2 linked regions of the Callithrix jacchus genome follow. The protein of the gene in region 1 purifies or fractionates together with the protein of each later gene. This does not show direct contact. Links are inferred from orthologs where the notes say so. Each region holds a gene or a part of one and is shown on either strand. Other genes may lie near its edges.

Region 1 (3,568 bases):
AAGCACTTTTTTAAATGTGTGACTTACTGATATAATTACACATTTATGTCCTCCCACAAGACTAAGATTTATAAGCATAAAGATCAAACATATTTTGTTCATAACTACGTATCTAACCCATAGCAAAGCCTGAAAAATAGTAAGTTTAAATAAACATTTCTCAGATGTACAATTCTAATAATACAAAGTATGAAATTATACACATATGCTGTTTAAGACACAGCAGATATTAATCATTTCTCTCTCTTTTTTTTTTTTTTGAGATGGAGTTTTGCTCTTATTGCCCAGGGTGGAGTGCAATGGCTGGATTCGGCTCACTGCAACCTCTGCCTCCCAGGTTCAAGCAATTCTCCTACCTCAGCCTCCCGAGTAGCTGGGATTACACCACACCTGGTTAATTTTTTATATTTTTAATAGAGATGGGGTTTCTCCATGTTGGTCAGGCTGGTCTCGAACTCTCGACCTCAGATGATCTGCCCACCTGAGCCTCCCAAAGTACTGGGATTATAGGCGTGAGTCACTGCTCCCGGCCTGAATTCATTATTTTAAAAACAAGAAAACAGGTGGGGTGCGGTAGCTCATGCCTGTAATCTCAACACTTTGGGAGGCCGAGGCAGGTGGATCACGAGGTCAGGAGATCAAAACTATCCTGGCCAACATGGTGAAACCGCATCTCTACTAAAAATACAAAAATTATCCAGGCGTGGTGGCACACACCTGTATGCCCAGCTGCTGAGGCAGGAGAATCGCTTGAACCTGGGAGGCTGAGGCTATATAATGAGCTGAGATCACACCACTGCACTCCAGCCTGGGCAACAGGGTAAGACGCTGTCTCAAATAAATAAATAAATAAATAAATAAATAAATAAATAAATAAATAAATAAATAAAAATAAAGGGAGAATTCAGCAATTATCCCCCACCTTTTCTATATGTACCTCAGAGTAGCCAAATAGTTGATTGGGAGGCAGGGGGATTACTTTATAGAATAGTCCATTAAGTAAATGAAGAAGAAATGATAGCATAATCACTATTTTGTAACATCTAAAGAATTAATCGATTTGGGCAATGATCAGTAGCTTTTATGGCAAAAAAAAAAAAAAGAGACAACCAGGCTGATAAAACTACATGTGATGTAGTCCTGCCCACCCTAACAAACAAATACATCTGAATCTGACCAATGCTCTCGACCTAATATGAATTTACAGGAAATTCAGAAAACAGAGGAACAGGCTAAATGACATCAAGGAGATGTAATCAATAAAATCCATACCGGAAAATTCTACAGTACAAATGAACCAGTTCTTCAACAAAAACATTGTGAGAGGGAAAAAAGGAAAGTGAAAGAGGGAGAATGAACCTATTGTGATTTATAGGCTTTATGAGGCTCCAAACCCAAATAAAACAAATTAGAAAAAAAATAATGAACAGTGACTATGTACTTCACTGTTTAACAAATTATCTTTTTATAAACATGATAATATCTGGGACTTGCTCCAAAATAATCCAGAGCAGAGTTGAGGTGGGTAGGGAGGGAGTAGAGATTAAAACAAGGTAGCCACATGTTGATAATTGTTAAGGTTCATTATACTAATCTACTTTTGTATATGATTGAAATTTTCTTCACAAAAGCACATTACTTAAAAAACTATACATTGGACTTGTTCATTAAAAGAGAAGAAACCAACATTCTCTGAAGAGTGGAAATAATTAGAAAATCCTACTCTCCTTCTATACCTTGTGTATAATAACTAAATAGATAACTTACTGATGCCTCTTCAACAGCAGCGTTCATGTGGCTCTGAAAACAAGATCGATCATCATCTTCATCCATATACACTGGTGGTTCATGTGAAGTCATGAACGTGGAAGGCTTAAAGAGATGCTTATTAAGAGGGTGCTGCCGTCTGCTTGTTGAAGACTAAGAAAACAAATTTTTAATTGGGACAGTAAAAAATCATTATAAAAATTGAAAATATAAAAATACAAATTTACTTCCAACAAGTCTATCAGAAGAATTTTACCTCTATCCTTTAGCATACTTTTATGTTGTTGCTTTTTCTATGTTTTCTGGGTTTTTAAAGCACAACTAGCCTTAAAAAAAAAAGAAAAAATGTAGGGGAAGTACCCCAACAACAGTAAAATGGACCACATGCTCAATATATACCTTATATTTGTATCCCCAGCATTCACCACTCTTGGCAGTCAAATGCTAGCTGCACTGAACTCTTATGATCATCTTATAAAAAATCAGAGAGGATGAAGTGGCCTGTGCCAGACATAACACTATCCAGTAAAAGAAAAATTTCTATAACATTATCAATATCTGAAAGTATTTATCTAACACTGACTGACTGCTTACTTCATGCCAGGAGTGTCCAACCTTTTGGCTTCCCTGGGCTACACTGGAAGAATTGTCTTGGGCCACACATAAAATACACTTAACACTAAAAAAAAAATATTGTAATGTTTTAAGAAAGTTTACCAATTTGTGTTGGGCCACATTCAAAGCTGTCCTGGGCCACACGTGGTTCTGTGGGCCATGGGTTAGACAAGCTTGCTCTATGCCAATATCATTTAATCCTTACAACATTCCTATAAAGTAGTTATCATCACCTCTAATTTAAAGATGAGGAAACTGAAGACAGGGAGGTTGTTTCTTGTCCAGTGTGTTGCAGCTAGATAGTGGTAGAACCAGGATTACAAACTAGGCCTGTGTGGTGCCCAAATTCTCACTCTCCACCACTATGTAGCCCGCCTGTCTTGATCAACAGCACAGTCACACCCTGAGCTACATTTCACCTGTTCCCAAATTTAACTATATTGGCAAACAGTCATTATAACTATAGCTGTACTAGATCTTCACAGCCAAAATACAGTATACCCAAGGGAAAAAAAACACATGCAGTTTCTCCAGTATTCCTTTTGTTATCGTCACCCAGTGTTAACTATGACAACATATGGTTACAGCACATCTATAAAGTTAGCTTAGAAATTAATCATGAAAATTAGAGCTCTTATGTAGAACACTGGTTAATGTAAGGTTCCAATATCCCAAAATTATAGGATGAACTCCACATATCTAACACAAGTTATCCTACATTTGATGGGAAATCCAAAATATTTAAAACAACTGGCAAATTAAAACAAGCTTCCAAAGCTTGGTTTAAAAAAAATGTTTTTTAATATGTAAAGCATGAAACTATATAGACAATATACTTAATGTAAAATCACATTAAATGGCTTCAATATGGTAGAGTAACAGCAATACATATACTCTTAACTTCTCTTTATGAAAGATGGCAGTGGTGGGGAGGGAAAAATACCAGGATAACTTATTAAGAAAATGAAAAACGGCCAATTATGTATTTTTATTTTTTACAAGTATAAGAAACTAGCTACATTTTAATGCAGTGTTCTGTTTGGGAAGGGAACAGTAGCTTCCCCACCGTAGAAAGCAACAGAGAATAGTGGAAAAAGCTTGGCATCCGAATGAGAGAATCAGTGGTTCCCAGACTTAACAGCTAAATGACTAGATAATTTACTCAACATACCTGAGGGCCCAGTTT
Region 2 (4,349 bases), on another chromosome or scaffold:
ACCTCAGGTGATCCACCCACCTTGGCCTCCCAAAGCGCAGGGATTACAGCAAATATTTTTCACTTCCTTCTCCACCTATTCGGTATCTAATTGCATCTCGAAATAAAAAGTCCCCCTCCAAACAACTCAAAAGCTCATCCCTAAGTTTCTAGATACTCATTCCAACAAACCCCTGGGGGAATGGCTTTTTACTCACTTGCTGCCATGTCAGCTTCAGCCTTTCATACTGCTCCTTGCCATCTGCCGAGCAATCCGAACAAGTAAACCTAAAAAAATTATCACCCTTAAGGTAACTGAGCTGTTCCCTCAGCTGACCTAGAAGAAAAACAGAAAGTCACATCATGGGTTTATCTAGAGCAGTGGTAACCCCAAGGTATGATGCATTTATCACCCAGATTTTCCTTTCCCATGTTGAGTCTTCTTTTCTTGAGCAAACACACAATAGCAAGATGGGAAAGAGGAAGGCAGTAAGAAAGACTTGTATTCTTCTAACACCAAGTATACGCCCACTAAGATCTGTACGATCCAGTAACTTTTAGGAGAAAAGTACTGGAAAATCAGGTATTGTTGCTGGATTTCCCAAGTGTCACATTCCTGACTCCCAGAGGCAGGTCTCTTCACACATTCTTTCAAAAAATATGAGCTCCTTCTGCATACCAGGCACTGCGCTAGGAACTGGGAATACAAAGCCCAAGACAGATAATGGTGCCTGGTCTCACAGGTTTGCACTTCCCTGAGGGCAGCACAGTGATTCTCCACGCTCACAATGCATCAGAATCGCCCAAGTTGTTCCTGGTTTTCTAAATATACTTGGTTCTAGACCAGATAAAATGAATCAACTTCTGAAGCAGAGCCTAGGAGCTACATTTCTGTGACACATGAAAACCACAGGAGTGGAATGTGATATGCACCACTGGGCAGTGTGAGAGTAAGTAAAAGGGGGACCCAACCTATGTTAGGGGGAGGCTTAGGATTAGAAATTGGCCAGGTGAAAAGGGGTGTCTTTGTGTAAAGGGAGAATGGAGGCTGTGGAGGAGCATATTCCAGAAAGGAAAAATACATGTGCAAAGCCCTAGGAATAAGACAGAATTGTTTGTAAAGAATGAAAAGTTCATCCTAACTGCAAAGTTCTGTGGGGATCAACAAAGCTACACTTAGCAGGGTCCTGACCACAAAGAGCAGCTTAAAATTTATCCTCACAGGACAAAGGGAAAGCCACTGAGAATTCAGGCAGAACCTGGATTTAATAAGCAGAGACCACTCAGAAGCAAAAACCAGCTAACTAGTAAATTCTACATTTCCTGTGAAAATGTTACTATTAATTTGTTAACAGTAACTAAATCTGAAGTTGAACCCATTTTAAGAAAAAATTTCCACATGCCAGAAAATGACCCACTTCATAATTACAATGTATTTCTCCTACTTGATGACAGATTCTATCACACAAAAGCATTCCTCAGGTACATATGTCTGTAAAGCCTCTTGCCTAATGGGAAAATCCTCTTTTGGTATGAACCGTATGGCTGGCAAGCCATACCCTCGAGTGCCAGGAAGCTGACCATGGAATATCTCAAAATTGGGAATGGCCACAGTGGCTCATGCCTGTAATCCCAGGATTTTGGGAGGCCGAGGCAGGCAGATCACCTGAGGTTGGGAGTTCGAGACCAGCCTGAGAAACATGGAGAAACCCCATCTCTACTAAAAATAAAAAATTAGCCAGGCATGGTGGCGTATGCCTGTAATCCCAGTTACTTGAGAGTCTGAGGCAGGAGAATCACCTGAACCTGGGAGCCAGAGGTCACAGTGAGCCAAGATTGCACCTTTACACTCCAGCCTGGGCAATGAGAACGAAACTCTCAAAAAAAAAAAAATTAGCCAGGTGTGGTAGCAAATGCCTGTAATTCCAGCTACCTGGGAGGCTGAGGCAGGAGAATCACTTGAACCCAGGAGCTGAGATCGCACCACTGCACTCCAGCCTGGGCAACAAAAGCAAAACTCCATCTCCAAAAACAAAAAAAAAAAGAAGAAAACCTCAAGATTGGGGCAATCAGGGAGTGTGTATGATGTTATCTCTTGCCAGAAGAAAAAAAGGAAAATGGGAAAAAAAGACTGGTCCTAGAAAAAGAGCAAAAAACACCTTCAATGTGCTCATCTAACTTCTCTTCAGTATACAACAGCAGTTCTCTGCATAAGTTAAACATTAACAAAGTAATTTTTATAAACTTGAACATGAATTCTACACTGGGATTGGAATTTTGCCCCAAATCTATATGATCATGTTAGAAAAATATGGCTAATTATTTAAGTAACACAGGATTTCCAATTTTCTCATTTTTATTGAGTTACCATCAAAATTGTTAACGATGTGACAGAGGTTGACAGTAAGTTTCATTAGTACAAACGTGCCTAGGTTTTGTATAAATTGATAGCTGATTAACTAGAGAATAAATATAATTATCCTTTTATTTAGGTCTCTTTTATATTCACATTTCTTTCTCAGGTTGGAAAAACAAACCTTCACACTGCAATTGACAAATCAAAGAAATTGAGAAGCTCCTTACTGGCTGGTATCCATTTTTGGCACTTGTCACAGAAGTAGGACAGCTGCTCCTCTATCCACGATACGTCTCCTTCATCGCTGTTGAGGGAATCCCCACTCTGGTCATGTGATAAGTCCACTGATGCCTGATCCTCAGATTCCACAATCAGGAGTGTCTCTCCCTCCACTTCACCTTCCTCCAGTCCTTCTGAGGTCGATGTTCTCGTGGCTTCGTCATCATGCCGACTAATCAGACTACTCAGGTGGATGCTACTCTCCATCCCCTCCTTCTCACAAGTTCAGCAGTGCTTCTCAGTAACAACCCTAAGCTCTGGACAGTGACCTTAGCAGAGCTTCTACCAGGATCATACAAAGACTCTTCCAAAGAGCATCTGCCTACACTCCTTTATTCAGATATAAGGGACACTGAAAGCAGTAATTTACAATATATGATCCACTGTCCTTTATCTGATCAAGTTTAAAAGGACGGTGACCAAAAAAAAGATGAAGACACCACTAAGCTACTCTCCGTCAACACACACACATACACTCATGTTGTCTGTCCCATTGATATTTCACATTCAAGTCGTTTTTTGAGATCCTTTTGCCAATAACATCTCTCTTTCTGCTTCAAGTTGCTTAGTCAATTTAATCTGCTCTCCCAAAAGACGAATGTTTTCTTTTTTCCGATTTTGCCTCTGAATGTCTCTGATAACTCCGTCATGAAGCCTCTAAAAACGTATAAGAAACAGATTTCAGTAACATCCCGAACAGGTGGTCCCCATCCTTGTGCCATTCAAATCCAAATAACAGTGTTACCAAAATACACTTAAAACTTTCAGATTCCAAATACCCAGTTACTATTTTAATTTTCTGTACAAATGTAAAATGTAATAAACCATCAAATAAATGTTATTACTGAAATGATTTCTCATATTTTAAGAAATTTCTGAGCATTGAGTACAGACTATTTAATGGGAAATAACAGGAAAACGACTGTTAAATAAAAAATAAAATGTTAAATTTTATTTTATTTTATTTATGTATCGAGACAGCGTCTTGTTCTGTCGCCCAGGCTGGAGTGCAGTGGCGTGATCTCAGCTGGCTGCAAACTCTGCCTCCTAGGTTCAAGTGATTCTCCAGCCTCAGCCTCCCATGTAGCTGGGATCACAGTCGTGCACCACCATGCCCAGCTAATTTTTGTATTTTTAGTAGAGAGGCGTTTTGCCACGTCAGCCAAACTGGTCTGGAACTCCCGACTTCAAGTGATCTGCTCGCCTCAGCCTCCCAAAGGCTGGATTACAGGTATGAGTCACCGCGCCTGGCCAATGTTAAATTTTAAAAGTGTAACTGATACATAATGCTTAAAACCTTGGCAAGTTACTACAGTAACACTGTAAACTACCCTTCTGTTAGCAATTATCCTAGCTGAACAATAAACATCAAGAGAAAAAAAGCAGATTACTAAAATCTGAACTTGACTTCTAGCATGTAAAGCTAAAAATGTAAAACTCATACAGAATTATTAATTATATAACAGAGAGAGAAGGAAAAAAAGAAGAATGCTACTACCAGAGGAAAAAATAAATTCCCATCAATGGTAGTTACCTTAGTAAGCACTAAAAAACCACAGAATCCCAGAACACGGACCTGACACCCAAGTTTAGACTTTTAAAAACATCAATTCAGTCATTACTAATAACTAACACTTTATAGTTTATTGCTCACAAAAATATAAAGTTTTTAGGCCGGTGGCTCACTCCTGTAATCCCAGCACTGTAGGAGGCCAAGGCAGGCAGACTGCTTAAGC

Evidence for each region. The genes of interacting proteins can lie anywhere in the genome.
Region 2: the proteins of ZZZ3 (region 1) and KAT14 purify together in Homo sapiens (affinity purification with mass spectrometry; 4 studies listed by BioGRID and IntAct, with this or other methods). This does not show direct contact. The link is inferred for Callithrix jacchus from reciprocal best matches to the Homo sapiens genes ZZZ3 and KAT14.

What each region holds. Positions count from the first base shown.
Region 1 is NC_133508.1:114,800,385-114,803,952, forward strand, and holds part of ZZZ3 (ZZ-type zinc finger-containing protein 3), read right to left. Parts: intron 1,921-3,568; coding exon 1,768-1,920; intron 1-1,767.
Region 2 is NC_133506.1:25,179,648-25,183,996, reverse strand, and holds the start of KAT14 (cysteine-rich protein 2-binding protein), read right to left. Parts: upstream 2,862-4,349; 5' UTR 2,821-2,861; coding exon 2,562-2,820; intron 316-2,561; coding exon 197-315; intron 1-196. Other genes in the region: protein PET117 homolog, mitochondrial, read right to left, coding at 3,121-3,270. UniProt on the Homo sapiens protein: Component of the ATAC complex, a complex with histone acetyltransferase activity on histones H3 and H4. May function as a scaffold for the ATAC complex to promote ATAC complex stability. Has also weak histone acetyltransferase activity toward histone H4.